4 linked regions of the Alligator mississippiensis genome follow. The protein of the gene in region 1 interacts with the protein of each later gene in a pairwise test. Links are inferred from orthologs where the notes say so. Each region holds a gene or a part of one and is shown in the gene's direction. Other genes may lie near its edges.

Region 1 (6,925 bases):
CCCAGCCCACTCCAAACCTGCTCCAGACACACCTGCCCACGCTGAGCAGTGGCAGCAGTAGCAGTGGCCAGGCAGAAGCTGCTAGCTGGCATGGAAGAAAATGCCCCTCCTAATCACTGCTGGGGCCTTCTTGCTGCAGCCACCCAGAGCCCACACCTGGGCTGCCCTGCAGCTTCTCTCTGCTGCCATCACTGCCACCTCCGGGCTGCCCAGTGGTGGCAATGCAGAGAAGCCACAGGGCAACCCAGGTGTGGGCTTCAGGCAGCTGCAGCAAGATGGGCTCAGCAGCAGTGACGGTAAGGGGCCTCTTTTCCTCCTTGCTGAGCAGCAGCTTCTGCCTGGCTGTTGCTGCTGCTCAATGTGGGCAGGTGAATCTGGAGCAGGCATGAGGCAGGCCAGGGATGGGGCTGTTTGCATAGGTTCTGGCTGGTCCACTCCAGCTGGGGAGAGTCTGTAGCAGGCACGGTCTGGGCCAGGGTCGAGGCTGGGGCTGTGTGCTGTTGGTGGTGGCACAGAGGAACCACCCGCAGGGTACGCAGGCTCGGGTGGTGAGGAGGTACTGGCTGTTGTTTAACTGTGCGATTAATTGCGACTATTTTTTTTAATCTTGCAATTAATTGCTATGATTTTTTAAAATCTTTTGTCAGCCCTAGTCAAATTGTTTGTAAACCCAGGAACTCCATGCTGCATCTGTTTATATTCAGTTTTACATTTTAAAGGGGTTCTTCTTAACTGTGAGGTCTAGAACTATAGATAAAGCTTACATTTTGAAAAACATTATTCCATGGCAAAGTATGGCAAACTTCACAGCCAGAGAATGGAAGAATGAGCAGTGTTAATCTGTTGCAAAGGGGAAAGTTGTCCAAAGCTTGCTTCAGCATGAATGTGGCTTCTCTTTCTCCGTATGTGCCACACCTGTTGGCAAGGCGAACATCTCCGAAGGAAGAGATTCCTTTCTACTGAGGTAACTCTCTGAAGTACAGAAGTAACAAGGTGACGGGGAGAGAATGCAGTGTGTGTTGAGCTGAACCCAGATTAAGGTGTTGCATCATCACTAGCACTTTTACGTGGTTTTCAGTAATTCACCTTCTCGTCCTTTCTTTGATTACATTAATTAAACTTGCATAAGCTGGGAGAGGATGCTACTGAGGTCTGCTTTGCTGTTGCAGATTGGCTACCCTGTGATGCTGAGTTGCATGTCTCCAAATGCCTAGGCTTGTTTCTGTCCCCAAAGCACTCAGAAAGCAGAGAATGCCATCCTTTTGTGCAGACCTTAACTAAAGGTTTAGACGTTGCAACAATAAAAGAACCTAATTCTTCATAAGCCTATACTAGATTGTTGTTTCCTATAGGTCAAAACCTTGGCAGCTTACAACATTGTTTACATTTGCTCTTTAGTGAGTAATATATTTCTAAGTTATAGAAATGCTTCACTGACACCTGAGGGGCATCTAAACTAAAAAAGTGCCATTTGAGATCCTGCACTGGTGTGAGTGAACTGGTGCAAGTAGTGACAGTACAGAATGGCCACACGAGTTATCCTGTTTGGAGGAAATGCAGTATGTTCGGTCCAAATTAGAACCTCTTTTAAGTGTTGCCAAGGGTTATGAGGCATTGTACATATGCTACAATGTTCAGCACATCTCTCCTTAGAGCAGGTGTCATTATGTCTATAGCATACATAGGGCATTTGTGCGTGTTCCCACTGTGGTTACTTTTGCCTCAGAAGATGCTTGTGCATAATAAAGAACAAGGGTTACTCTGTGCTGTGTCCTCTCACTTGCTAATGCTGTGGCAGTCAAAAACTTCTTCTGGACTCACTGCCAGGCCCTACCAGGACCTAGTAGGTTAGTAGGTAATACAACAAGCATGGCCAGCATTGGGCTTTGGTGCTTTAGGAGGAACAGCACTTGATTTTATGATGTGCTTTCACTTCCCCAGTACCCTCTTCAGTTTCAATTTTGTTCTCCCCTTTTTTTGGCTACTAAGATAATGGTTTGTTCTCTTCTGTGTTGTCTTCTAGGAAACTGGAGCCAGTCCAGAGGTCTCTGAGACAGGACATTTTCTTGGACTCTTTCTTGCCTCCAAGGGTGTCACTCTCCTGTCACCCTGACCTTCTGTAATGGAGCCGCTGAGACCCAAGGTCCTCCTCCAGGGGAACACAGGACAGTAACTAGTGGAAGCTGAACCACAATGGAGAAGTAAGTCATTTTTCCCAAGGCAATAATTGGGAGTGTCTTAGCCTCAGAGCAGGTATAATCAAGGCGGTGACACCTAAACAGACCTGTGCACTGTTGACACAGAGTACTACACTTGCACATACCTGGAATAAATTAGGGCAGCCTGTGTATGACACATGGCAGACTGGGGAGGACTCAGGCAGCACAGTGGCAGATAGGACAGGAAGCAATGCAGCAGATGGGGCAGGCAGCAGAAAAAGCAACAGATCCAGCAGAAGCCCAGGGCAGAAAGCAGAGCAGCAGATAGATCAGAGAAAGGAGATCAGAGTGCCCTTTGGGGAGGTTTTGGGGCTAATCTGTGACACGCTTGCCAAAAAAGACTGGACTCCACTGTATTAGGGTGTCCAGAGGGCCATTAGTATCTATATTTACCTAGTCTGACTAGGCCTTTCTTGAGGTTTAATGAAGGACATGAGTAAAAGTCATCAAAGCCTTGATCAGGGAGCAAGTACCATGGGCAGAAACAAAGTAGACCCTGCTAATAGGATTGGCCCCTGTACAAAGCATGTTAAGCAGGATTTCCTAGGAGAAGAGAGGCAGGCTTTGGCTTCTGCTTCCTTAGGGCATCCCTCTGTCAGGCACCTTCAGGCAGGCACCTATCTCACAGGCCTGGGGGGTGAGGAGTCGGGGGGAGGAATCCCAGCCTAGGTGAGACCAGCTGATCTCCACCATGTCCAGGAGGGATGGTGGCCAGGACAAGGCAGCTTCCCCAAGGCAGCCTCTAGCTAGCCACAGGAATGCTGGCCATCCTCAGAGACCCCTGGGGTTGGGAGTGAGTAGGATGGTCCAGCTCCACAGGACGAGCACCTTGGAGATCAAACCAGATTGCTGGCCAGACACAGGCCCCTTGAGCATGTATATATATTTAAAGAAATTGTCATGTTCCAAGCCAAATCAAGTCCAAATCCGTGAGTCAGTCCAGAACCATAAGTGGCCCTACAACCAGCAAACGTCCTCTACCCATACCAGGAACATCAGATGTTTCCAACATCTTTTGGCAGGCATCCAACTTGGGGATGCCTGAGTTTCACTTGCCCTCAGCCATATGGCTGCAGGAGCAAGCTAGGGAGGAACCTCCCCTTTCCATGAAATGGACTTAAAGCCCAAACACCTTGGCAGGTACTAAACCACACCAGAAGAGCGCTTATCCTCCAAGCGCTCAAGGAAAACTGTCTTCAGGGACTCAGATACATGGTGTTTCTCCTGCCAGGTAAGTATTGACAGGGTTGTATAGAAGCAGGATGTGTGCTGCCGTGGTTCCCCTGCTTTACCTGTGGCAGGGTCGGGGTTAGGTCTCTGTTGAGTCAGGGTTGGGTGTAGACTTCTGCAGAGTTCAGATGAGGGCTGTAGGGATGGTTTGGCTAGGGCTGACAGCGCATCCGGCAGCGGGTCGGACCTGATGACCTCTGGAGGTCTTTTCCAGCCTGACTTCCCTCTGATTTCTACCAGACACCCACAAGGCGCTTCCTTCTCCGTGCATCCCTAACCCAAGGCCAGCGAGCAGAGCTGGCCTGGCAGAGGCCGGAGGAGCCCTGCAAAGGGTTAAGGCCGGTTTGGCTCGGCTCTGCTGTGCGTATGCTGTAATGTGTGGCTCTCTTTGGCCGCCTGCCAAAGTGTTGCCTTGCCTCCACCTCCTCCTCCTCCCTCCCCTCCCCTCCCCTCCTCCCTCCCTGCCTTGTGCATGAAGTCGGATCCTTGAGCTGTTGCAGAGGCAGCCAACTGCTCCATATTTGGCTTCGCTTACACACTGACATACCGGGGAGCGGAGCAGCCTCGTACCGCAGACATCCCTGCATCTACTACGGCGCTGGGGGCAGCCGGGACCCGCGTGTCACTCACTCACTCCCGCCGCGGGGGAAGGAAGGAAGGAAGGAGCCCGGAGGAGCCAGCCCCGCTGCAGCACCCCCACGCCCGGCCCGGCCCGGCTGGGTGCTGCTGCCTCCCCCCGCCCCTCCTCCAGTGACACTTTACAGTAAGTGGTTTTTTATTTCTCCTCTGCTTTTGCCTCCCCCTCCCCCTTCCTCCTTCCCTGCAGCTGGAAAAAAAAAACACGGGGGGAGGGATCTTCTACCCTGTCCCTTCCTTGCTTTTGGGCACAAGGGCTTTGTGATCCCCTGGGAGTGTGTGTGGGGGGGATCATTGCACCCCCCCCCTTGCTGTGCATGCAAGGGTTGGGGGGGAAGGAGAAGGGATCTCTTACGCTGTCCCTCCTGCCCCCTCCCCTGCTCTTGGGCACAAAGGCTTTGTGATCCCCTGGGGGCACGCACTGCACCCCGTCTGCTAGGGGGAGAAGGGGTCCTACCCTGTCCCTCCTGTACCCAGGCTCCTGCCCCCCTCCCCTGCATGCCAGCTTGTGGGCACAAGGGCTTTGTGATCCCCTGCACCCCCCCCCCCCCTTGCTGTGCATGCGCGGGGGGGAATCTCCTACCCTGTCCCTCCTGCACCCGGGGCTCCTGCTCCCTCCCTCCCTCCCTCGCCGCGCAGCCCCTGGGCGAAAGGGCTTTGTGATGCCCTGGGGGCAGTCCCTGCACCCGCTTGCTGTGCTGTGCTGTGCTGTGCCGTGCCAGGCGGGGTGCAGGAGGGCCGGGGCCGGGGGGGGGTGCTCGTGGGGGAGGGGTCTGAGTTGCAAGGCCGGGCCGTAGTAGGGGGGGCGAATGAAGCGAGCGGCGCGGGAGGCGGCCGGCGGCGGCAGCAGCAGTAGCCTTCCCGCTCCGGGCCCGTGCGCAGGCCGGCTGCAGGCACCGGCTGGCGCGGGGCCGGGGTCAGGGCAGGCCTGGCTGCCCCGCTCCACGGCCTGGGGCTGGGCGCGGCGCTCCGGGGCCCTCACAGCGCCCCCCCCGGCCGCCCGGTCCGGTCCGGCCCGGCCGCCTGCCCGGGCCCTTGGGAGCCGGCTGCCCTGCAAACCACCTCCAAAATAACACCCCCCCCTCCAGCCTTGTCAAGTCCAGCTCCCACCAGAAGTGATGAGGCTGATGGGGGGGGAATAATAACCATCGCATTATTATTAGTAGTAGTAGTATTAGTGTTATCATTATTATGACCAGAGTGAGGCCTGTTGGGATGTGAGCGGGGATGGGGAGCAGTCGCTGAAGAGGAAACACGGGAGAGAAAACCTCCCTCTCCTCCCAGCGCATTATATAAGGAGAAGGCTGAGCTATTTTTATTTCTGTTTACCCTACGCAGGGCAATGGGGACTCTTGCAGGCAGCAAGTTTTCGGGGGGGGGGAGCCACTCTTTGGCCCCCCCTGGGTGAGGCTGGACTCCGGATATAATCAGTAAAAAAAAAATGAAAAAATGAAAAAGAGAAGCCTTCTGATGAACGCCTGGGTTAGAAATGCAGTGTAAAAAAACCACTGTCCCTTCCGCCTGCCCTTTATGAGCAAATAAGAAATGCGGGAGGCAGATGACCTTAGTTCTCCAAAGCCTTTTTATATTTGGTGGCATGAAGACATCCGTATGTCGTCATGCAGGTTCTCCTTAAAACGTAAGGATCCCTGCTATCTATTTTATGCAGCAGGGGTAGGCTGCATGTCAGACATGGTCTGGCATAGCCGGTTACTTTGATTATATATTAGGTAAGTCGAGGGCTTTTCATTTCAGTTTCCAACCCAGACCTTTAGCTACTGCAAAATTCAGATAGCATGTTAATGTAGTTATGTTGCTTTGGATGGTGAAGACAGTTCAGTTTTATAACCTGGAAAAAGGATTATGAATGAGGGGGAGAAAATTGAGGGTGAGAGAAAAAAAATATGCCGTAGCTTTTTTTTTTTTTTGGTGAGATGCAGCAAGGTGTCTTCTTAGAACAGCTTACAATTTTGTCTCATTGTCTCCAAACATACATGCATATATAAAAAATAAAAATAAAAAAATGGTCCAATATTTTACAGGCAGCAATTCTTAGAAAAGGCTGGCTTTATTATCGCCGTTTATGTAAGGCAAAGGTTGATAGGTTTTCTTCAACTCTTGCCTGTCTATCTCTCTGTCATCATGTAGATACATGTCAGTGGTGTAGGTTTTCAGTGCACTTACTCTAGCCCTGATCAGTCATGTAATTAGATCAGGCTGCCATGGTAACAGACAGTATTCATCGTCCATTCAGGTGTGTTTGTCTTGTGACTAGGCTACCTCAAGCGGTATATGTACTGTATTTATGTTGTGCAGCCTGCATAGCTGACTGCTCTGTCTTCTTGCAGAATGTTTCAGCATATTGTAATCATTTCCTGACCACTGAGTATGTGAAAGATGCTCCTCGAGTGCTACAGCATCAGGCAGTTTTTACATTTGTGCACGGTATGCAAATATATTGACCTAGTCAGGGAAATTACTCTAGTGTTTATTGTTTGTGAATCAACAAATGTTTGCTACTCCTTCTAAACTTTTTTCCAGGCTTATCTAAATGTTTAGTCCCCAGTCTAATCTTTTTAGAGGGCTAGGTGTTTAACCATGTGAAGGCTGAAATTGTGCATGAAAGATATCACAGGTCTGAGGGCTAACAGCTTAGGCCCCAAACGGCGTGCCTAACTTTACGTGCTCTGACTAGCAGAACGAAAGTGATGGATAACTGGCATCAGCATTATCACTTACCTCAAAGAACGTGTTGTTATAAGCATGTTTGTAATTCTTAGCAAGATTGGGGCCTTCGTGTGTTTTACTTGGTCATTGAATTTCCAATTTCACTTTCTAAA
Region 2 (7,512 bases), on another chromosome or scaffold:
GGGCTTGTCATAGCAACCAACCCCCGGGGCCCCGATCCTCAGAGCCTGGAGCAGACTGACCTGCGTGGCACAGATCACAGGCTTCCCCGCACGGTTGCAGCAACCAATCATCATTTTCTGCGCCACGAAGACTTTCTCTGCTGGGATTTCAATGCCCAGGTCCCCGCGAGCCACCATAATCCCATCACTGGCATCCAGGATCTCATCAAACCTGCAGGGCAGAACAGGCTTAGCTTCACACGGCTCAGGAGGTGTCCCCATCATACCCACCCCAGGCAAGACATGCTACTGAAGGCGTGTTCTGGGAGCTCAGGGAATGGCACGTGGCTGCCACAAGAGTGGGTGCCAGCCTGGCCACAGAGCTGAGAGCTCGTGGGACACAAGAACGTCCAGAGCAAGCCTGTGTGTGCCTGATGACCCCATGCAGGTAAGTGCTGCTGTGGCCCCCCGGGGAAATGCCTTTGGGGTGGGCATGATGCCCCATCCCCAGCGATGACATGTGGGGCAGAGAGGAACATTTCTCTCCCCTGCTGCCGCGGCTGATAGGCAGGGGGCAGACAACCAGGGACACAGGGACAGTTACTTCCTGACGCCCTCATGGTTTTCAATCTTGCTGATGATCTTGATGGTGCGGCCCTGCTCGCCCAGCACAGCCCGGATGGCTGCCACATCAGCTGCCTTGCGGATGAAGGAGGCAAAGATCATGTCCACGCCATGCTGCAGCCCGAAGTGCAGGTCGCGCACATCCCGCTCTGACACAGCTGGCAGGTCGACCTCCGCCCCTGGCAGGTTCACGCCCTTGCGGCTGCACAATACCCCGCCATTCTCCACCTCCGTCACGCAGCTGTTGGGGCCTGGGGCAGGGAGAGAGGCAGTTCCAGGCCCTGCGGGGTCCGTGGGGCACAGGGACAGGGGCTGGGATGGGCACCCCAGTGGGGACTGGCCGGGGCAACATAGCCATGGTAGGGGCTAAAGAACAGCGCAGAGCATGGGGATGTAGCATAGAGCTGCGCCGGGGGGGGGGGGGGGGGGCATTGAGGAAGGTGCAGACACTCGGCTAGTGCCCTGTACCACCCTGGGCTGGGCAGGCGGTGGTCAGAGTTCTGGGGACATAGGCCCGGGTTGGGGGTGCCCTGTGCCACCCTGGGGTGGGCGGGCGGCAGAGCACTGGGGGACGTACCGATTTCCTTGACCACCAGGGAGATGAGCCCGTCGTCCACAAAGATCTTCCTGCCGACCTTTACAACCCTGGCGAGGTTTCGGTAGTCCACCCAGATGACAGACTGGTCGCAGCGCTCCTTGTAGGCCTCGTCGGTGGTGACCGTCACGCGGGAGCCCTTCACCAGCTCCACCTCCATGTTCTCACCCTGCACAGGCACCGCACGATCGGGGCTTCAGCGTGCCCAGCTTGATTGGCAGACCCATCCAAACCGCACCAGTCCCACCTGCTCCAGTGTCCCCCTGCCAATTCCCGGACCCCTTGCTTTCTGCTACAGGCCAGGGCAGGGCAGCCTCCCACCAGCAGCCCCTGCCCCTTTCCCATCCAGCTACTCTATACTCACCCCTTTGATCAGGCCAGTGCGGATCTCAGGGCCCTTGGTGTCCAGGGCGATGGCCACGGGGCGGTAGAAGAGAGGATTGGAGGCGAAGCTCTCTGTCGCCTCCCGGATGTTTGCAATGGAGCCGGCATGATACTGGCAGGGAAGAGCTAGGGCTGCAGGGGGGCTGCTGTGCAGAGCTGTGCTGCCCCTGCCCCTGCCCCAGTTTGTGGTCTCTGGTCCTGCCCCTTCCTTTCCCATCAGGGCCCTGTCTGCACCTGCCCTTCAGGGCCCTGCTTGCCCCAGTCAGGGGGCTTTGGGCCTTGCCCTGGATCCACAAACTTGTCCCCATCTCAATATCCTCCCTTGCTCCAGCCTGCGAGGTGGGGGCTCCCCCGCTGCCCCAGTGGGCAGACGCTCCCTAGCTACAGCACCCTCTCCCTGTGCCAGGCTGGGGGATCCCTGCTTCCACCCGTCTGTGGGGCCTGGCCCCTACCCACATACCTCGTGTGAGCCGTGAGAGAAGTTCAGGCGTGCAATGTTCATCCCAGCCTTAATCATCTCTTTCAGCATCTCCACGGAGCGGGAAGCAGGCCCTGGCAGACACAGAGGCTCAGACCCTCCTGCCCTCTGCCCAGAGACTATCCCACCCTCAGGGCCCTGGGCCTTGCCCCAGCCCCTCCAGGCAGGTCTCCGGTGCCATCCTGTGGCCCGGCACCCCCAGCTCTCCTGCACAGAGTGGTTCTTGCCCTTTCCCTGGGAGAGCAATACCTATGGTACAGACGATGCTGGTGTTGCGGGTGGTGATGGGCACCGAGTCGATGTCCAGCAGGCAGAGGTGCTCCAGGAAGGTGTCCGCCCGGGACGCCCTCAGCTGGTTCCTCTGGAAAAAGGCTGTGCCGAGCTCCTGGGTGAGCTGAGCCATGTCTTCCAGCAGCCACGGCCTGATGACCCCTGCTGAGACAGGGAGGGTGCAGTTGCACAAATGCTGCCAGGCGCAGCCCGTGGGATGGCAGCCCCTGCCCCCCAGTGCCGGGCTGGGAGCAGCAGGAAGTGCCGAGGCCTTCTTGGGGCAGTGCCAGTGCCCCCTGCTCAGGGCAGCGTGAGCGGGGAGTGCTAGCTGCATGCCGCCGTTGTGCAGCCATCGACTCGGCGGGCACTTCCCCCCTGGTGCCAAGGTCCTGATCATCGCTCAGCGGAGGGCTTGGACCCACCTTCCGTGTGCAGCCCCAGTGCAGCCCGTCCTGCCATGGCTGCCTCCCTGCAGCCCAGACCCCCACCCCTGAGCAGACCTCTGACACGCCAGAGCTCATTAAAGTGTCACCAGAGCTCGGCCAGCTTGGACCAGAGGTCATTCCTGCGTGGCCTGGGGCTTTGCTGGCTGTCGGGCTCATTACAACAACCAGACCCCGAGACGGGAGCTGGGAAGGAGCTGGCAGCAACCTGGGATCAACCTGTGGCCCCTGGCATACACCGGGGCCCTCTGGGAGCAGAGCCAGGGCAAGCATCCCCACATGGTGCAGGCCCAGCGGGAAGCAGGGGCTGGGAGCCGGGATCCAGGCCCCAGGGACCACAAGGAGGCTCTGGGGCCAGTCATCTCACAGCAGCGTGGTGTGGACAGCTCATGTCGCACTGCCCTGGCGTACGAGACAGGCTCCCTGGGGCCGCACGGGCCGTCCTGGGGCCAGGGAGCAGCGAGGCTGGCAGCTGCGATGTGCAGAGCAGGCCTCGGCACCGGGGTCCTGGGCAGGCAGAACCAGCTCGCTGTGCGGGCGCGAGGGGCCAGGGCCGGGCAGGGGCTGCAATCCGGTCCCACGGCTGCTCCCGAGCCAGGAACCACCCACCTCGTTCCGGTGCTGGCCCGCTGCTCCGGCCCACGGGAGACGCCCCAGATAGGAACTAGGAAGTGGCAGCTCTCCCCTCCTCCCTGCCAGCCCCTGGGCAGCTCCCAGCCTCGCCCCTTCCTGCTCCTTGTCCCCACCCCTCCTGCTCCAGCCCGGCCCTGGTCCCGCTCCACCAGCCGCCGCTTCTCCCTGCTCGCCCACGGCCTGGGGCGCCGGGGCAGGAGTGGCGGGGCAGGCTGGCAGGGGGAAGGAAGCTGTCAGTGGGAGTCAAACGGTGGCAACAGCCCTGGTCAGACCCTGTTCAGTCTCAGCCTGCACCTGGCCTCTGTGCCACGCAGGAGACGGGCACAACACCCTGTGGTCTGACCAGATAGAGCAGGGAGCGGCAGGCAGAGCAGCAGAGGGGCAGTGAGCAGCAGGCAGAGCAGCAGATATAGCAGGGAGCGGCAGGCAGAGGGGCAGGAAACGGCAGGCAGAGCAGCAGATATAGCAGGGAGCAGCAGATAGAACAGGGAGCGGCAGGCAGAGGGGCAGGGAACGGCAGGCAGAGCAGCAGATATAGCAGGGAGTGGCAGGCAGAGCAGCAGAGGGGCAGGGAGCGCCAGGCAGAGCAGCAGATATAGCAGGGAGCGCCAGGCAGAGCAGCAGAGGGGCAGGGAGCAGCAGGCGGAGCAGCAGATATTACAAGTAGCGGCAGGCAGATGAACGGAGCTGTAAGGAGCAGCAGGGATCGGGGAAGAGCTAGTCGGGGGCGGGGCCTAGGGGGCGGGGGCGGGGACACCCACTGTCAGACGGCTGCTGAAGGATTACGGTACTTCTGCCTGCGGGCCCAAACTTCCTCCTCCAGCCAATCCCGAGGCTCCGCCGGGCGTGGCCCCGCCTCGCCACCCGCTGACTGGCTCATCCCCCCAAGGGCCCATCCTCATACGATGGGAGGTGGCCAATGGGCGCGGCCTCCCGAGATGGGACGGGGCACCGCCCCGCCCCGCCCCGCCGCGAGGCAGGCCGGGAGTTGTGGTCCCGGCGGCGGCGGCGGGCGCGGGGCTGGGGCCGCGCGCACTACAGCTCCCAGGCGCCCCCGCGCCGCTGCCGGGGTTTAAAGTGGGCGGGGCCGGCGCGCGGAGTGGAGGCGGCTGCGGAGCAGGTGCGGGGAGCACGGCTTGGACGGGGCGGCTGCTGCTGGGCCGCGCGCTCGCTCTGGTGCGCGGAGCTGCGGGGCCGGGCCTGAGCCTGAGCGCGCCGCGTGCGGCAGGGGCGGCGATGGGCGCGGACCGCCAGGCCTTCGAGGGCTTCTTCCCGCAGGTCGTGCGCGACCTCACGGCCGACGGGCTGCGGCACCCCGAGGTGGGCGACGCGGTGGCCCGGCTGAAGGAGGTGAGCGGGGGAGTAGGCTGAGCGGCGGAGGGGGGAGAGGCTGTGCTCGCCCTCGCGGGGTGCCCGGGGTGGGTGCCACCGGGCCGGTGTCAGCGGAGCTGTGTGCTTGTCCCCACAGGTGCTGGAGTACAACAGCCCGGGCGGGAAGCACACGCGGGGCCTGACCGTGCTGGCCGCCTTCCGACGCCTCGTGCAGCCCGAGCAGCAGGGCCCGGACAGCGTCCGGTGCGCGCTGGCGGTCGGCTGGTGCATCGAGCTGGTGAGGCCAGGCTTGGGGGTCCCGGGTGCGGGGGGGAGCAGGCTCCTGAAGGGCCTGGGGGCACCATGGACCCCGTCAGGCTCCCCACCAGGAGGCTGGCACAGCCCTCGGTGCCTGGGGGGACCTGGGCCTGAACCGCTTAGTCCCGGTGTGGTACGAGAAGGACTTGTTCTTGTTGCAGCTCCAGGCTTTTTTCCTCGTGGCAGATGATATCATGGACTCGTCCCTCACCCGCCGGGGCCAGCCCTGCTGGTATAAGAAGGTACCGGGGGCTGGGGCAGGGGCTGACGGCACTGGGCATCGCTGCTTCCAGGTCCTGCCACAGCAGTTCAGTCACCTCATGCGTCCCCTGGGCAGTGCGGGGCTCTGTGCCATAGAAGTGCTTTTCCAGTCGCTGCTCGCCCACGCGAGGTGCTCTTGCTTCACATTTCTTTGCCAATTCGTGCTCTCGTGTAGTTGCAACGTTTGCCCCAGCCCTTCCCGGGCACGCGCTGCCCTGGGATGTACTATCCTGCCTTGCTGCAGCAGTTTACCCTGTTCTTGTCCTCCCGTGATGTTCTTGTCCACGTTCTGAATCGGTGTTCCCTGCGCTTCCGATTCCCACGGCACATCTGGATTAAAAGGGGCCGTGCGCTGCCTCCTGACCCTGGAGAAGGGGTGCGGTGTGTTTGGGCTGTCTACACGCATGGGCCTGCCCACCCCTTTGATTCTGTGGCTGGGTCCTATCATGCAGAGCTGGGAAGTTCTTGGCAACAGTGTTAACTATCACAGTTTCTACACCACCAGACTTCTGCCTCATGGGGCTCCCCATGCTGACGCCGACAGATGCTCCTTTGGTGCCGTCACCCCTCATGGCACCCATTGGGAATTGTTATTCTGATGCATTTGGGTGTTTTGCCCAAAGCTTGAGCCTTGCAGCTTGAACTCTCACTGCTGCTGGCTTGCCTTGTGGTGCGTGTAGGGGAGGATTGAAGCATGGAGCCTGGCAGAGGGTGGATGGAAGAGGGCTGGCTCTAACCTGCCCTGGGCCTTCTATTGCAGGAGGGGATTGGTTTGGATGCTGTGAATGACTCCTTCCTTCTTGAATCCTCCATCTACCGGCTGCTGAAGAAATATTGCCGGGGGCAGCCCTACTACCTGCACTTGCTGGAGCTCTTCTTGCAGGTGGGGCTGGCCCCTTTGCTCCCATTTTCCTCCTGCACCCTGATTGCCGCAAGTCAGCTCCCCTTGGGCACGTCTGATCTCACTCGGGTCTGCAGGTCACTGTCAGAGAGCTGCCACATGCCTGCCGGGAGGTGCAAGCCCCATGCCACGTGGTGGCAGCTGCTTGTTCCCCTGGATAGTCTCTGAGTGTCCAGGGATGGGGCCTTCAGGGCCATATGAGCAGCGCATAGTGGGGCTGGGACCTCACGTCTTCTTCCTCCTCAGACCAGCTACCAGACGGAGCTGGGACAGGCTCTGGACCTCATCACAGCTCCCCCTACCCAAGTGGACCTGGCCCGCTTCACTGAGCAGAGGTGAGGCCTAGTGGGTAAAGCCTGCTATCTGGGGGCAGGTGCAGTGACTGGGGCAATTGTGGCTCATGGACGCGGCTGCCTCAGCAGCGCCCATTGCCCTGCAGGGCACCTCTGTGTAGCTGAGGGGTAGCAAGGAGCTTCTCTGGGCTGCTCCCCCCCCTGGCTGCTGTCTTTACAAGCCAGAGGCTTTGACATCTCTGGGGCAATGCTGTAGCCAGTTGTCCCTGGGAAGTGGCTCCAGTGTCTGCAAGGTGCTCCTGGCACCCTGTGGGCCTCGGTCACTGAGTGTGGCTCCTGTCTGGCAGGTACAAGGCAATTGTTAAATATAAGACAGCTTTCTACTCTTTCTACCTGCCTGTCGCTGCTGCCATGTACATGGTGAGTGTCCTCTGCAGCCCGCATACTGCTGGCTGACATGGGTGGGCAGGCAACTCTGCTGTGGGAGGGAGTGTGGTGGTGCGCATGTCTGGGGGGGTTGGGGTAGGCTCTGCTGGCTGAGGACCTGGGGGGGGAGGGGAGGGGTGTATGTGCAGCAGAGGACCAGGGTTGTGAAGGGTCTGGGCTAGAGGCCGAGGCATCTCCATTCTCTTCTCTCCTTGCAGGCTGGCATAGAGAGTGAGGAGGAGCATGCCAATGCAAAGGCCATCCTGCTGGAGATGGGGGAGTTCTTCCAGATCCAGGTAAGAGACCCCTTCTCCCATAGGTGCTCATGAGACCCTGTACTCTGGAAGGTCACAGCACAGTAGGCTTTGTCTGCCCACAGGATGACTTCCTTGATTGCTTTGGGGATCCAAGCTTGACAGGTAAGATTGGCACTGACATCCAGGACAACAAGTGCAGCTGGCTGGTGGTAGAGTGCCTGCGCCGGGCCTCTCCAGAGCAGAGGAAGCTCCTTGAGGTATTCTCACTGGGAGATTAAGACCCTGCCCCCCTACTGGTGGCCTGTGGCAGGGGCAGTGGGGGTTGCTGCCTGGCTTACT
Region 3 (8,027 bases), on another chromosome or scaffold:
ATGTGCAACCATTTTATATTTTTATCCCCATTCTACAGAAGGGGAACAGAAAAACAGAGATTCAGCTTGAAATTTTCCGCTAATTGTGGGTGTCCAATCTGAGACACCTAGAGCATAATTTTTCAGACTACTTAGCATTATGTGTTCAAAGCATGGTTCTCATGGGTTTAAGCTAAGATGTTGACTGCTTAGTACTCTGTAGAGATCCCAGTATCTCAAGTCTGGCACATAGAAAATAGGTGATACACAATTGGGGATCACTCATTAAAAGTCTGTGATACCAGGCCAGGAAATTTACTCTGAACTAGTAAAGTGGCATTAGTGTTTCTGTGTTTTAGATGTGGTACTAGAATCTAGGGCAGCATTCATATACCTTATAACATCCTTTGTTTTCCTCCAATCCCATCTCATACATTACATATCTTCCAAATTCTGCAACAAGTATGGCTGGGGTCCTACTGTCACCAGGTGTCTTCATTAGCCAGCCCTGATTCATTAACCTCGTATGCGTTTAATGAGACAAGGCTCCTATGGCTAAAATAGGTTATGATCAGGTAGTTACTGTTGCAAAATGCATACATGCAAGGAATGCTGTCATTTCCTAGCATTTTGAGTGCTAGACTTTGCAACCATAAAGTTCTTTTGATAGAGGGTTTTAGGTCATAATTTCTTATGTTCTTTGTAAAAGTGCCAACTTCAGAAACAGGACACCCATCACACAGACTCCTAGTGACATTTTATGGGTAGGCCTGGCAGAATTAATTTTTTTAAATTTTGATGGCTAAAATGAATGTTTATTTTTAAGCATCTATTATGATTTTTATCTATTGACATTTTCAGGACGGCACAAAATCAGGTATTTTTCAATTTATTTTAAATTAATTTATTCGTGTGTACACGTGTGGTAGCTGCTGCAGGAGCTGGGGGCTATGCCAGTAAGGCTGTGCCCAGGGCGGGGTGTTGGTAAAGCCTGGGAGCCTGGTGCTGCCAGCCCCTTGCTGTGTTCAAGTCCCAGCCAAGGGCTGGGCTAAATGCCCATGGAGCCTTGCCTGGTCCATCCTCCACAAGCGTTTGGCCCCTGCCTTGATCTCGCAGGGACTGGCCCCTGCCCCAGCTGGGACCTGGGCAGAGTGAGGAGACAGCAGCACCAGGCTCCTGGGTGTGTGTATGTATGTGCACACCCCTGCCCCAATTTTCCTTACCTCCATCCCAGAATTTTTTTTGTTTCCCTTTGGTGTAAATTTCAATGATTACTGATGGAAATAGTTTTCCATCAGTCTGTGTGTGTCAGATGAAATCAATGTCTATCAATAAAAATCAAATCCTACCAAGGCTATCAAAGGGTCAGCAGCAAGGCTGAACATTTAGATCCAACATACACTCCTCTGCCAACTTGAGCTATGGGGGGATGGTTTCACAGATGTTTGCTGCTGGTAGAGTACTGGTGAGATTTGGAATTTCATAGCGTTTGAAAAGTTTGAAGCCAGAGGAGACCAGCAGATCACCTAGTCTGACCTTCTGCATAGCACAGGCCAGCAAATGTCACCCAGATACTGTACGCTAACCCAAATCCTTCAACTGAATAAAAGCATTTAAGACATCAGGAGACCAAGCTGTGTGGCACAGGTATAGCAGAAGAGACCACTAACGCTGAAGGCCCTTGCGATAGCAGGAAATTGATTAGACAAGAAATGTCTAGATGATCCCAGCAGATGATCCATGCCCATGCTACAGAGAAAAGTGAAGGAAAGCCCACAAATCTACCATTCTGACCAGTAATCCAACAAAATTCCTTCCTTACTCCAAATCTGGTGATCAGTTTCATCCTGAACATGATGGCAAAGTCAGTTGGGCATCTAAGTAGGAGGAGTCTTTGTTGAACTTGAGAGCATTTGTCCACCCTGTTCAGCATTCAGTCTTCAGCCATGGCCAATTTCCAAAGCCTTAGAGAGAAATTGGAAGGAATCCAGAATAGAGCAACTGAAATGAGTAGAGAGCTAGGAAACATGGCTTACAAGAAATGCTTGGAAGAATTTGCATTTTTTAGTCTGGAGAAAAGAAGGCAGCGGGGATTTGTTAACACATTCCCAATTACTTGAAGGGTGGTTATAAAGTGGAGAGTGACAGACACTGTTCCATGGCTGCAGGAGACAGGGCAAGAAGTAAGTCTTAAACTGCAACAAGGAAAATTAGGGTGGTTCTTTGGAAGACCTTTCTAAATATGAGGGCAGTTAAGTACTGGGACAGACTGCCTAGAGTGGTTGTGGAATCTCCCTCCTTGGAAGATTTTAAGAGCAAGTTAGACTCTTCTCTGCAATGATATAGACAGGGATGGTTGGCCTTGGGCAGGAGGGTTGGAATAAATGACTTCCAGAGGTAACTTTCAGCCCCACATTTCTATGATTCTAGAGGAAAGTGTGGAGTGAGAGGAATGGACATCTAGACGATTGTGCATTGGGGAAAAGGACCATGAAGTGACAGCACAAGTACCCACTGTGTGCCCTATGCCAGAGCTAGCACTGCCACCACCATGTGTCCCATGCTGCAGTGGATGGGCAAAGTGGCTGGAGGGCAGGCAGGGTCTGTATTAGCCCTAACCTATCCTCCTGCCACTGACTGCCATTCAGTGTAGCAGCTGTGAGAAGGGCAACACTTCCCCACAGGTGGGAGAGGCCACAGCAACAACTTCCTACATCTTACCACATGGATTCTTGGCAGCTGATATAGGAACAACTCACTGGTAGCTGTGTGCCTGTTGGCATGCTGGTCTGTCCCTGTTCCTGTCCTTTTTATAGTAGTGGAAGTAGATACCTGAAGTCCAAAGACTGCTGACCCTGCTGCTGTGCTTGTGCTTAAGTTCAGCTGTGGTGATTTCCTGCACCAGAGTCCCAGAAGGTCTGCATCTTCCTCAGTTGAAGACTCTGGTCTCTGCTAAGGCCATGCCAACTTTCCACTCAAAGCATCTCTGGGGTGGGGAGGAATGTACCTGCCAAATTTTGTGCAACTTCAGACAGCAACAAGCAGTTTTCAGAAAGCCTCCAGGGCGCACTGTTTTGCTTCCTAGGAGCCATTCTGCTTTTACTCTATCATGGCAATGTTTTATTAATCCTGACCCACTAGCTCTCTGTTTTTTCTCCATCATGCCCTTAGCTATGCTGTGCACAGCTGGTTCTGATGCATCAGCCTGAGAAATTATGACCTATGCTGGTATTTGTGATCTTTTGCTCCATCCCACAGGCATTGGAAAGCACTGAAAAGGCCCAGGAGCTGGCAGAGGGACTGGGAAACAAGGTAGGCTCACTCTCACAGCTCCCCTCCACTGGGGGTAGGAAGACTAAGGTGCCCAATCTCAAAGTTACTGCCTGTTTATCCTCCCCAAACTTGGGTTAACCAGTAATTCCTTGAGGCAAATTTGAGCTGCAAGCCTCAAAGTCAATTATCTTGGAACAGGTGTTTAGTTTGTGCAAGAATCAGTGGGCAGAGAGGGAGGGGGTAGTTCTGAATGGAGTGGGCACACGCTGGCTGCTGTAATAGCTAAAAAATTAATAAGGATCCACAGCAGGTTAGTGAAGTCAGAAATAGAAGATGCTCCAACAGCAGGGCAGGAACAGGATGGTGGTGAGGACAGCTGAAGGATTAGGGATTTCTTCTCTGAACATCTCCCAGGCATCTATCTATTAATGAGCCAGATAAACAAGTCTTGTGCCTGGCTTGTATGCTGGCTGGCTTCCTCTGTAGAAAGAAAAGCTAAGGAAAGCCAGCTTGGTGAATAGGTTGCTGCATGCTTGGAGTGCTGCAACCCTCTCACCTCCTTCACTGGGACCAGAGGGTTTATGGATACACAGGGAGGGCTGAGAGCCCACAGGAATTAATTCTATCTTGACCCTAAACATCCTGGCTTTTAGCAGGTTGGTGTTTTTTGGGTTTGGCCTGTGTGCCTTGTGGGGCTAGAGGAGGCTTCCTTTTTAGAGGCCTTCGGTGTCCGCTTTGCCCTTGCCTCTTCCACTAGCTTGGCCTGCTGAAGCTTCACTGCCTGTGTGAAAGCATCTATCGCAGCAAGGGGCGGCAGCGGGAGCTGCGCGGCCATGTGGTGCGGTTCCACGAGTGTGTGGAGGAGATGGAGCTGTACTGCGGCCTGTGCGGAGAGTCCATCGGGGAGAGGAACAACCAGCTCCAGGCGCTGCCTTGCTCCCACTTCTTCCATCTCAAGTAAGGAGCACGGGGGACAGGGGCTGCCAGATGGAGGTCGGTTCTGGCAGAGGGTTTGGGGAGGGGTGGCTGCTCAGGGGTGCCCCCCCCGAGCTGAGTTTAGCAGCCCAGGGCTAGAGCAGTGATGGGCAAGGCCACTGTTGTCTAGAGGACTCTGTCCTGTGGGCATCTCCCCTGCACAGGGGCGGCCCCCTTACACTGCCGTCTACTGAGCCTCAGCCAGATTTGTTCCCCCTGTGCCGGCTGGCAGGCAGCCCCCCTCCTCGGGTCTCAGAAATAGGCCTGGAGGGACGGCGGGGACAGGCCCGGAGGCGCCTCGGAGCTGCGCTTAAATCCCCTTCAGTTCCTCCTGCGTGTGAGTGCCCCAGCGCGGGCAGCGGGCGGGGCCAGGAGCCGCTCCGAGCACCGCCTCCTCTCTCTTGCAGGTGCCTGCAGACGGACGGGACCCGCGGCTGCCCGCACTGCCGCCGCGCCACTGTCAAGCCGGGCTTCGTCTGAGCCGCCGGCGCCACCTCCCAGCCCCGCCCCGCCCCAGACTGTGACGCGCGGGGGGCGGGGCCGCGAGCTGTTTGTCCTGGAAATAAAAGTGGTTACACCCGCGCTGGCCGCGCTCGTTCCTGGGCGGGGCCTGCTCCGCCCCGCCCCCTCCGCTCCGAGCAGCGCTCGTGGGCGGCCCCTGCAGCTGGCCCCGCCTCCGCGCTGTCCCTCATCGACATGGCGGCGGAGCCATCACTCAGCAGATTTGGCCGCTGTCACGTGACCGGCGGGGCAGGTTTCTACGCAGCAGATTCGACACGGGGGGCGGGGGAGGAGCAGCGCGGTCCCGTAGCGGCCGGGACAGGCTTTCCCGCCGCGGCCTAAGACGAATCCGCGGTCTGTGACGCCGGGCCGCGTTTACTCGCACAGAGCAAGAATGGCGTCGGTCTGGGATGAGGCCGAGGTGAGGGGGCCGGGGGAGGGGGACAAGGGATGGGGGTGCTGGGAGCGGCCGCTGACCACCCCGTGCCCCCCCAGGACGGCGTGGGCGAGGAGGTGCTGAAGATGTCCACGGAGGAGATCGTGCAGCGCACGCGCCTGCTGGACAGCGAGATCAAGGTGAGCGCCCAGCCCGGCCCTAGCAGCAGCAGCCCCGGGGCTCCTGTCGGCGAGCGCGTCCGGCTGCTCAGGGGCGCGGCCCGGCGAGGCCCAGGACCCCTCAGGCGGCGCCTCCCGGGCCGCACGTCACAGACTGCAGAGGGCGGCGGGCACCGGCCGTGCCCTGCTCCGTGCCGCCCGCGCGCCCTCTCCGCTTCCTCCTGCGCGGTGCCCAGCCTCAAGTCGCTGCCTGCTCCAGGCTTGTGGCTCTGCTGGGCCCAGGCCCGCGGCAGCTGGGGTGCAGAGTGGATGCTGGAGGGGACAGTGAGCAGGATGTGGCTTTTCCTCTGTTTCCCACCAGCAGCCTCCAGGTGTAGGGCCCAGGAAGCTGTGATTCAGAGGCTGTGCTCCTAATTTACCCCTGTGCTGGATTGCTACCAATGCCCCTTTGCTCCAAGGATTTGTTCAGTCCCCTTTTGAACTATCGGCTTCCACAACACCTCGTGGTAGGGAGTTTGCTCTGTAGACTTGCCACTTGCAGGCCGTTTTTGTTGCAGGTTGCTGCTGTGCTCAGCATTTGTGCCTGTCCAGTGCCCTAACGAGCTCCAGCCTAGAGAAGGGGTATTTAAGGGAAGGACGAGTTTAACTCCATTAACTTGGGTGTTGGAGTTGCCCCTGGCCAGATCTGAACTGTGGGGCTCCTTGGTGGGCTCAATCTATGGGGCTGGCAGCAGCAGTGGAGCAAGCAGGCATAGAGATGTAGTTCACTGCTTCTTCTGTACTGGGCACCTTGGCCACAGATGACTGGATAATGTTTGTTAGGTAGTTCCACACTACCCTTCTACTTCTTGGGTTTAAGTAATGGCTCCTTAAACAAGGTAGACTGATGGGGGATAAAAATCTGAGCTCTGTCTAGATTCACACTCCTACTATATTACTACAGAGAGAAAACTATGGCTGTGATTGCTGCTGCAGGTGAGGCCTCCGCTGATCAGTTAGGTTTGGTCCACAGCTGCCTGAAAGAGAAAATGGCTCCCCTACGGATGCGAGCAGGTGTTTCATTTATGTCGGGGAAACACTCCGCTTTCCTGAAGCAAACGTAGGCCTGCAGGTGTTCAGGCAGCCTGTGGGGCAGAAAAGACAGCAATTCCACCATTAGCTGCTGGCTTAGCAACTTTGCCACTGAATTTTTCTAGCACCATGTGCGATGTCTGTGGCATTGGGACCCTGAGTATTCCACAGTGCGTGGATCCTGATACCCAGGGCCGGAGCTCGGGAGCCAGGTCGACCCCGTGCCTCCCTCCCGGACGTTAGGGCGGCTCGTCTCCCCCGCGGGAGCAGCCCGCCGCCCGCGCCCGGGGCCGCCCGGCCACCGTGCAGGGCACCGGGGAGAAGTAGAAATCGCGGCCGGGCTCCTGGAACTCTCGTCCGGCCAGGCCGCCCGGCCCGCCCCCGGGCCGGAGCACCAGTCGACATGGAGCCAAACTCGGGGTTGACCCTCTCCTGCAGCAGGGTCCTGCCCCGGAGTTTCCCCTGTCCGACCTCCTGGAACCCAAGATGGGCATCTAGGGTCCCGAAAACCGTGTCCCCGAAAATCTCCGCGAACCTTTCTTGGCAATATTGTAGATGCGGCACCCGGCCCAGCCACCGGGAGCAACCGCCGAAAGTGTCCGCCCTCCTGGAGCGAAGGAGGATACCCAGCCATGAGCTGACAGAGCACCCAGATTAAGGAGACCAAGCAGGGGGTGGCTCTATGGGTGGCCCCCTACCCAGTCTAGCAATCAGCAGGACCACTTGGTGCAAGGGCTGTGTTTCAGCTGTGTGAGCAGAAGAGTTGTCTACTGTGACTGCCCTCTGGCAGTGTGCTGGCAGGAGGGCAGAGGTCTCCACAGTACCACTGATGCGGCTGAAGCATGGACTCTTGCTTGTGACAAGAAGCTGCATTCCCATGGCTAGATCATGGGCAAGTGCTGGTGTTCTGGCTGCAGCCCCAAGAACCATCTTGCTTCCCCCTGCTCTTTGAACCATCCTGGTGAGCTATGGGATGGTTCAGGTGGTAGGACCACTGGCCTATGCGCCTTTAATGGTCCTGGGTGTCTCTGGGAGTGTGCAGTGAGTTGAGGGTGTGCCAGAGGTCGGGGGTAGAAGAGTGGTTGGTTACTTGCTCGAGCTGGAGCTGGAGGCTGTCTTTCAGCATCTGCTAGCTGATCACTAACAGCCTGCATCTTCCTGGGCAGGGGAGAGCACAAGCTGTCAGTGATCAGGCTCCCATCTAGGTTGGAGGAACCAAAGAGCAACCCTCTCTTGCCCCTGGCAGGAGAGCTTACCACAGTCTAGTTCTCCAGCTAAGGAGCTGGAATGCCTCCATAGCCCCCTTCTCACTTCACTTTCATGGTGCTGGAAACTTCTGGTGTTCAGATTGAATGCCTGTCTGGATCCTGAGGTCATCAGTAAAAGGCAAGACTGTCTTATCTTTGCCTCGTGTTAGATGACTTGCTGTCTGAGAAAATAGGAATGCACTGCTTTCTCTTGGGAAACAGTTGTTGTGCTCGGTCTATACTCAAAGTTTTGAACTCTCACTCATTTTTCTAATATCCAGTTGCCCTTTAAACATAGGATCTCAGTTTATCAGCCTCTGTACAGGGAGTCTTGTTTCATTTAATTCAAAAGGTCATGACTGGTAGACTACTGAGGCCTGTAGTAGCCTCAGTGCTCTCTCTTGTAGTGGTGATACTTTGCAAAGC
Region 4 (7,952 bases), on another chromosome or scaffold:
TCACCTATGCTTTGGGTAGAGGTGCTATCTTTTATTAGACCAACTGAATAGTTGCAAAAAAAAGTTTATTTGCAAGCTTTCAGACACACATGATCTTTCTCGGGGGAAAAAATTGTAAAACAAGAGTCTACATGACCACTAAATTACAACATCATTCCTTTCATGTTGTTATACATTTATGGCGATCCAATGCATCTGAGTAATTTTTCGAAGGCAATTGTTTTATTAAATTTTGTGTGTGGCAAAATTAAGTATTTAATTTTAACATTGCGTGTTGTGCTTTATTTATTAATGCACCATGCAAACATTTAACAGGTCTGTTTATTAATGCTTTTTGATACTTTCATATTTATAATGGGGTGTGGGGGGCCTCCAATTTTCTGTTTGCCTAGGGCCCCAATGAATCTTAATCCGCCCCTGGCTGCATTGCAGGCTATGGGCAGCCTCAGCCAGAAGGGCCTCAGAAGTGATGAGCGTGCTCGCTGCCAGGTTCAGCTTTTGCCAGGCGCCTAGCACCGGCCACTACTGCTTATCATGAGCAGAGCTGCCTCTCTGTATATCCCCCTCCCCAAAAAACTGTCCTGTACCTCCAGCACAGTGCCACAGCTTACACCAGCTCCTGGCCCATGCGCCAGAAGCAATGCTGGGCAGGCACTGGCATCAGCTGTGGACACAGGCAGCAGCTTCCCCCTGGGGACTGGGGGAAGCTTCTCCTTGGGGTAGAATGGCAGCTGGACACTGAACCTGCTGCCCACACCCACACCATCTCCCTTCCTCCCCTCCCCCTCTGCAGACCCATTCCACATAGGGAAGCTTGGTGAGCTATTGCAGGGTGGGGCGCTAACCTCCTCTGCAACAGGTCCCCAAAACTCCCTAGATGGCCCTCGGCCCCAAATTGCCCACCCCTGCACTAGATCCTAGAAGAGGGGATCCAGCATTCTGCCCAAGGTCTAAAAAAGCTGTGTGCTTTCATCAACAGGAAGAGGAGTAGCAATTCCCAGTGGTGACAAGGAGCGGTGCCAGGAGCAGCACCAGTGGAGCAGAGAACCTCAGATGTGGTGAGGAGTGGCAGTAGCAACTGTTGAGCAGTTATCCTCTGTCAGAGTACCAGTTACACTAAGGAGAGGAGAGGGGAAAGATTGGGGACAGCAGCTACCTTGTCTGCCCTAGCTACCAAGTTGTCCCTGCATGGAACTAGGGGAGAAATCTGGTCCTACTGACTGTGATATACTATGAAAACTTAGTTGGGATAGACTACAGACCATTACGGTCTTCTCCAAGATTGCTTATAAGTCTCACTTTTATGAGACCCTATGTAACTGTAAGTTTGCTACTGCTTGCAAGTTGGAGGTGTGTTCACACTGGAGGTACCAAGCAGCATTTTTTTCTTCAGGTTTCTGGGTGGGGGCTTGAGCTAAGTTGGATAATGTGTGTCAAAAGACAACCATCTAAATTTGACCCATGCTGTTGCCATCCACTGCCTAGCAGAAGGGTTACACTGGCAAACTAAAGTGTCCCCCATATTTAGCTGTTTTCTGAAAAGCTACTTCATTTGCAGGAGCAAATGTGATGCCCTTTGACTATCTCACAGAGCCAGAAGGAAATTATTTCAAAGGGTCAGACAGACATACTATATAGTTTTTCCAACCCAGCTTGCAGGCCTGGTATTCTAAAGATGTTTTGATCAAGAAGGACTGAGCAGGAGTCTTTGACCAGTGTAAGCCTTGAGCTGGCTAAGAGCAGAAGCACTATTTCCTTCCTGTGAGGGGTTAGGCTTTGCTGGCACTAGGAGACAAGGCTAAGCTAGCATCTCAAACCAATACTGCCCCACCACAAGCCGGGCTCCAACTGCCTCCTCACAGATAGACAGGGATATAGAAGATAAAGTGGTTTTTGATGGGGAGTTTTTTTTTCTGTTTTCAAGAGCCACCAGCCTCCCTAAGAGATAGTGTGTGCAGGTGGAGCATGAGGCCTTTGTGTAGCCAGCCCCCAGGCTCTGAGGGTCTCCACCTATTGCTCAGCCCACTCTGGTCTAGGGAGTTGTATGTGTGCCCCGCTACCCAAAAAAAGAAAAAAGGGCTCAGACCTGGTTTGGGGCCTCTAGGGGCTCAGCACAGCTGGAGTGGCAGTCACAGGCCCCAGCTCTGATGGGCTGGGTGTGAGGCTGGGCCAGGCCAGGCCCCTACTTTCCTCAGATCACTCCTCTCTGGGCCTAGCGGCTGCACTCTCAAACCTGGCTCCTGGGATAGAGTTTACCTCTTTGACCCAACTGGGCCACCAGCCATCACCATTACCCTACCAAGCATGCTCAAGAAGGTGTCACTGATTGTCCCCAAGAGGGATGCATTTTGAAAAAAAAAACCCTTGTACAGTACCGAACGGTTATACTGGGATTTCAAGTCCTTCCATGTTGGGATGATCCTGGTAGGTTCCTGCATCTTGCCCACATGACAAGCAGGCCCTTCCCAGCAGCTTAGTCCAAGGTGAAAACAGCTCATTCTCTGCAGATGAGTCCAACCTAGGAAATAATGTGCTCAGCAAAACCTGAACTTGCTGCAGGGGAGAGAGGAGAGGGCACTTTGTATCTACAGAATGGGCAAGCTGCTCCGCTAATAACCCTGGGAGTGGAAAAGTCCCTCTGCTCTTTCCTTGCCCTACAGTTAGCCAGTGCCCCTGCCTGAGGTAGATCATTGCTGGTGCCCTCTAGAAGGGAGAGGTCCCTACTCTATTCCCCACCCTCTGAACTAGCCAATCCCTATGCCTCCACCCATTCTTCAAGGAAAAAAGTGAGGAAAAGACAGCAATAAAAACCATGTTTCATATGAGAGAGTCCTTACAGTAGGACCTCCCTGCCCTGAGACATGTTATATTGGCAGGTATTTATACAGATTTCCCTTGATTTATGCAACAGATGCCTTCCCAGGGAACAGTGCATAAATCAAATTCACATAAAGCAAACCCAATTTACAATGAAACAGATAGGGATGACACTGGAGATTCCAGGTACCTTAGTTCTGCTTCCAGCTTTAACTTGCTGTGTGACCTGGATGTATTACTTTGGACTAAACTATTAAAAGGATCTCAGCCTGGCATCTGTTACAATTAACATTTAGACATCTACCTACCAGACATGCAGTTTGCTACTTACTTGGAAATGACCTTTGGTAACCACAAGGTCGGCAACTGCAAAGTTACTGTTAAAAAATGAAGTTATTAAAAAAAATATCAGGCTTGCTTTGTGCCTGAGTTTCCCCATCTGTAAAACAGGGATATGCCTACTTTCTTGGAATATTAAGATAACTAACTAGTTCATGTCTACTGCTCTGAGATTCTCTGATGAAGGTTCTTTAGGAATTCAGATCATAAGTACAGTTGCTTCAATACTGCCCATACCCACTTAAACATGTGAAGCAAGACTCCACACAGATGTTGATAGTCCCAAAATCCTACTCTCACACTACCCACATTTAATATTAGGATATCATATACCTTATCTCTTCACCAACTGCTTATCATCACTTCCCACGTGTACCTATGGGGATGGGAGAAACATAACATGGCTTCTTTTCAGTTACTTAAAGGTAGTCTTTCTAATTAAGAAGTGCATGTTCCCCTCAGCTGTGTACTTGTCATGAATCCACCTCTATTTCTAAATGTGCATTCTCTGCTCTTAAAGAGTAGCAATGATTTCTTAGGATGATATATTTTATTGGATCAGCTGTGTAGTTGTGAGTCAGACAAGCTTTTAAATGCAAGACATTCTTCATCAGCCCTGATCAGAACAAGCCAGGCACAGCCATGTAAGCTTAAGAAATTGTTACGGTATAGTCTGGCTTCTTTTTTCTTTAGGTTGTGGATTTTCCATTTTAAGTGTCAGATTTCAATGTCTTCCATGTCGTGGTAGTGTAAGAGCGATGGCATAGCCATGATGGTTCAGAAATGACATGATCTTTCACTACCATAACATGGAAAACAACATAATCTACTGCTTAACAATGCAAAATCTATAACCTAAGAAAAAAGAAGCCAGACTGCATTTCGTAATGTTTTGCGCATGAAGGCTCAGAAATAGACATAGCCAGTTGGAATGTGATCTCCTGGATCCAGGACCGGACAGAGCAAATAGCTGCACTTAATGTACCTCCAGTGCTTTGATAATGGCCTCGCCCTTCCCCTGGGGCAGGAGGTGAGCCAAGGGCAGAAGGGAGAGAGAGCTCCAGCATCTGCTAAAGTTGCGTGTGTCCCAGGTGCACAAGTGCAGGCTGAGCAGGCATGTTGTACAGCACAGACCCATTTTGCACCTGATGTTAAACTGACATAGTCTTCTACAAATGGCTTGTTTCCTTGGACTTCAGGGAGCTCAAAGCAGATGCAGCACCTGGACTAATGGACCACAAATAAAGGATTTTTATAAAAAACACAAGTCAAATGTCTAGTTGCTGTTTTAAAAAGGAAATGGGCAGAAAGCAAGCGCAGCTCCAGCCTGCCACAAAAAGGCCTCTCAGGTAGCAAGAGGGAGAAAGTGACAATCCGAGATTGGGGATGAGAAAGCCTGCGGCCAGCACGATCCGCCGGGTCTATTTGCCCGGGCAGAAGCTGAAGGCAGCGCGTCTCGCTGGGCAGGGTAGACAGTGGCACCTTCAAGCGGCCTGGGCCGCATCGCGTGGCGCCGCGGCACGCTCAGGGCAGGAGGAGCGGCCCGGGCACGAGGCAGCTGTTAAAAATACGGGGCCAACAGGAGACGCGGAAACACCGGCTTCTCCACGAGGGGACGGACGGGCGCGACGAACCCCCCCCGCAGCCCAGCCCCCTTTGCTGCGGCACGGAAGCATGCGCAGTGCTCGCCGCGCGCGGCCGGGCAAAGCTTGCGCGCAGGCGCAGTGCTCCGCGCCTTGGCCCGCGTGCGCCGGGCCGGAGGGCGCAGGCGCAGCGCGGCGCACGGGCCAAGATGGCGGCCGGCTGCTCCCCGCGCTGGCTGAGCGCCGCGGCCACCGGCCTCGGGGGGGTCCGGGGCGCCGGCAGGACCGCGCGGCTGGTGCTGCTGCGGCTCAGCCGGGGACTCAGCGCCGCCCCCGCCGCCGCCTTCCCCGCCCGGGCGGGGGCCGGGAGCCGCCTGCTGACGTTGAGAGCCGGGGTCAGCCCCGCGGGTGAGCGCCGGGCCGGGCGGGGGCTCCGCGAGGCCGTCGCCGCGGTGGGGGCTGGCTCCGCGCGGCCCGGGGGAGAGGGCGCCGGGGGCTCTGCCTGCCGTGCTGACGGTGGAGGCACGTGGGAGGCGGCCTGGCCCGGCCCTCAAGTCACGGCCTCTGCGTCCGCCTCCGTGCGGGTGTTCGGCGGCAGCAGGGCCCGGAGACGCTGTGCCGCTGCCAGCTGGGGAGGAGGCTGCCCCAGGCGGGAGTGCTCGGCCCTCTCCTGCAGCGCGGTGCGGGCCGTGTCTCCCTCTGCCCCGCGCTGGCTGGAAGCCTCGGAAGGGCCGACGTGCACGAGCCCATCCTTGAGTGCTGTAAATAAGCGGGAGCCTGTTGGACTGGCGCCATGTGCCGTCTCAGCAAATTCCAGATCAGCTTTAAGCCCCTGTTCCTCATCCTCACATCCTCCCGTTTTAGAGCCTGGCCTGTGTGAGGCCCACCCCAAAGCTGCCTACCCACGCAGTTAGTGTTGAAGACACCAACGATGCAGTTAGTGTTGTCCGGGTTAGAGGGAAGGTGGGGCAGACTTATGTTTTATAGGCTAGATAAATCAAAGATGTATAGCACAAGTCCTACAGGCTAGCAGGGTCAGCTGTCCTTCTCTGTCCAAGGTCAAGCCATTGGGAGCCAGGTAAATTAATCCCACCATTTCAATTCCTTCTTTTTTTTTCAGGGGGTCAAAATGAGTTTTCATCTTGCTCATTTTAGAGGACAGGGCAAACCTCTTTGCCTCTATTGAGCAAGATCTGCCTTGACAAAATGGAGGGAAATTTCATCTCTTAGATCTTATTTTGTGAAGAATAATGGAATTAAGATATGAAATTATTTGACTGCTCTGCTTTTACCTGCAGAATGCTTCTAAAGCTGCATTAAAATCTCTTCATGTTTTCAAGAGTCTGGGGAAGAGTAAATGCTTGCTTCTCTTAAAGTTAGTTGCATGTCTCCTGTAACTTCACTGTTACAGGTTTTAGTCTTACCTTAAAACTATAAAATGCTAGAAAATTAATTGAATATTACTCCATGGTATCTCATGATTTAAGCTCTGTGAAAAGTAGAATGGCTTCTTTGTCACACCACCACATATCTACTGTCTGCTGTGATCAGAAGTTGGCCACATACAGGGATGTTGCTAAAAAAAATTGTGAATGAAATCTTAAATTGTGTCAGAATTCTCCCTATAATTATTGCATTGGTTGTTGGCACCCATCACTATCTTAAAGGCGTGGTAATTTTAGCTCTGGTATATATATATTTTTCTAAATAAAATTTCTTTTTTGCACGTACCAAATTAAGCATCCTGTGTAAGCTTCAATACATTTTACAATCTTCAGTTAAATTGAAGTTAAAAAAGTAGAAGCTGTTTTTGATTAAGAAATGGTTTCTAAAAAACCCCTCATATTTATTTACCTTTTACAGATGGAGTATTCCATGCAGTTTTTCAGTGTAACTGTCTTGATTATTAATACAGGTTTCCCTCACTTTATGTGGGTTCTGTACATGCAAATTTGCTCTTATGTGATGACCCATTTTATACCAAAAATGTGTTATATGCGAGGTAAATTTATTCTTATGTGATTGGCGTGGTGGAAGCCCAGTCAGCTGCTTTGTGTGGTGCATTGTGGGAGTGACCCACTCCAAAATATAGTCTCTTGTGTGGATCTTTGCTCCTCACTCATTGTCTACGACATGCGTTTCTGTAGTTGCCATCCCCATTATGATTATGCCCTGTGCTTGTGTGTACTGTCTGCTGTAGGTGAGTACCAAAATTACCTTGTAAAAGTGGTAGAAATGGGTCTGGTGGTCAGTAAGTCGAGGTATTAGAATGTATCCCTATTTGTTACATTGTAAAGTCGGTTCTCTTTATGCGAATTTGAGTTATGCACCATTTTCCAGGAACACATGTTACAGTATAAAGCGGGGGAAACCTGTACACAAGAGCAGGCCGTGAAGCACCAGGAAAGGTTCTGCGGAAGGTCTGTGGTTTCTTACAATTTGTCTTGTTTTGACTTTTTTTTCTTTTCTGTCTGGCTTTTCTTAGGAACTAAAAATTATCCTTTAATATGCAATGCCTTGTTTCATACTGGTTCCTCCTCTTGCACCAAAGAAGATTATTACCAGATACTGGGAGTTCCTCGAACTGCTACCCAAAAGGAGATCAAGAAAGCCTATTACCAGGCATGTATGCTAAAGAAAAATGAAAATGGTTTAATTTCATGATTGACTTCGTGTTTTGAATTTTGTCTTGTTGGGGAGAGTGTATTATGACCCACTTTTTACTCTTACCTGAAATATACCAAAGTAAAAACTTCCAAGTACTGTCATGCTAGTGATTTTTTTTTTTTCCTTGCATGGTGGAACGAGGCCGATAATATATTAAAGGAAGTTCAGTGCCATCAGATAGATTCAACACAGTCGTCCCTGGTTAAATATATTATTTTGGGCAGTGGCCAGTATCTTTTACATCAGGGAAGGCAAAAGCCACAAAACTCATAAATATTAGTAAAATGCTGATTTTTATTTTTGGTATCTTTCTGTGGCCTTTCTTTTTGCGTTCTTTAAATTTTTTTTATACTTAAAAACCTCTAAAAATAAGCTTTCAGAGTCATTGGTAGCAAGATTATAGTTATGGTTCACTCTTGTCATTATGCATATTAAGAGCATTCTTGGTGAGCCAGGCCCTGCGTGCAATGGATAGGTGTTGATTGGCTGGCTCATGTGGAAAAGCTTTGTGATGCTTCTTTTATTATGTTCCTCATTTTAGGGACT

What was found.
Region 2: the proteins of ATXN1 (region 1) and FDPS interact in binary tests that used the Homo sapiens proteins (3 or more experiments, as listed by UniProt). The link is inferred for Alligator mississippiensis from reciprocal best matches to the Homo sapiens genes ATXN1 and FDPS.
Region 3: the proteins of ATXN1 (region 1) and PSMC3 interact in binary tests that used the Homo sapiens proteins (3 or more experiments, as listed by UniProt). The link is inferred for Alligator mississippiensis from reciprocal best matches to the Homo sapiens genes ATXN1 and PSMC3.
Region 4: the proteins of ATXN1 (region 1) and DNAJA3 interact in binary tests that used the Homo sapiens proteins (3 or more experiments, as listed by UniProt). The link is inferred for Alligator mississippiensis from reciprocal best matches to the Homo sapiens genes ATXN1 and DNAJA3.

Annotation. Positions count from the first base shown.
Region 1 is NC_081826.1:129,980,159-129,987,083, reverse strand, and holds the start of ATXN1 (ataxin-1), read left to right. Parts: upstream 1-3,910; 5' UTR 3,911-4,212; intron 4,213-5,055; exon of another isoform or gene 5,056-6,530; intron 6,531-6,925. UniProt on the Homo sapiens protein: Chromatin-binding factor that repress Notch signaling in the absence of Notch intracellular domain by acting as a CBF1 corepressor. Binds to the HEY promoter and might assist, along with NCOR2, RBPJ-mediated repression. Binds RNA in vitro.
Region 2 is NC_081838.1:12,575,526-12,583,037, reverse strand, and holds the start of FDPS (farnesyl pyrophosphate synthase), read left to right. Parts: upstream 1-4,502; 5' UTR 4,503-4,642; coding exon 4,643-4,756; intron 4,757-4,874; coding exon 4,875-5,015; intron 5,016-5,196; coding exon 5,197-5,277; intron 5,278-6,056; coding exon 6,057-6,179; intron 6,180-6,443; coding exon 6,444-6,532; intron 6,533-6,837; coding exon 6,838-6,910; intron 6,911-7,134; coding exon 7,135-7,212; intron 7,213-7,295; coding exon 7,296-7,430; intron 7,431-7,512. Other genes in the region: pyruvate kinase PKLR, read right to left, coding at 61-211, 584-854, 1,181-1,367, 1,563-1,694, 2,043-2,134, 2,310-2,463. UniProt on the Homo sapiens protein: Key enzyme in isoprenoid biosynthesis which catalyzes the formation of farnesyl diphosphate (FPP), a precursor for several classes of essential metabolites including sterols, dolichols, carotenoids, and ubiquinones.
Region 3 is NC_081825.1:228,398,599-228,406,625, reverse strand, and holds the start of PSMC3 (26S proteasome regulatory subunit 6A), read left to right. Parts: upstream 1-5,013; 5' UTR 5,014-5,122; coding exon 5,123-5,149; intron 5,150-5,223; coding exon 5,224-5,304; intron 5,305-8,027. Other genes in the region: RAPSN (43 kDa receptor-associated protein of the synapse), read left to right, coding at 3,238-3,291, 4,010-4,209, 4,635-4,707.
Region 4 is NC_081836.1:25,252,933-25,260,884, forward strand, and holds the start of DNAJA3 (dnaJ homolog subfamily A member 3, mitochondrial), read left to right. Parts: upstream 1-4,933; 5' UTR 4,934-4,948; coding exon 4,949-5,147; intron 5,148-7,224; coding exon 7,225-7,361; intron 7,362-7,952. UniProt on the Homo sapiens protein: Modulates apoptotic signal transduction or effector structures within the mitochondrial matrix. Affect cytochrome C release from the mitochondria and caspase 3 activation, but not caspase 8 activation.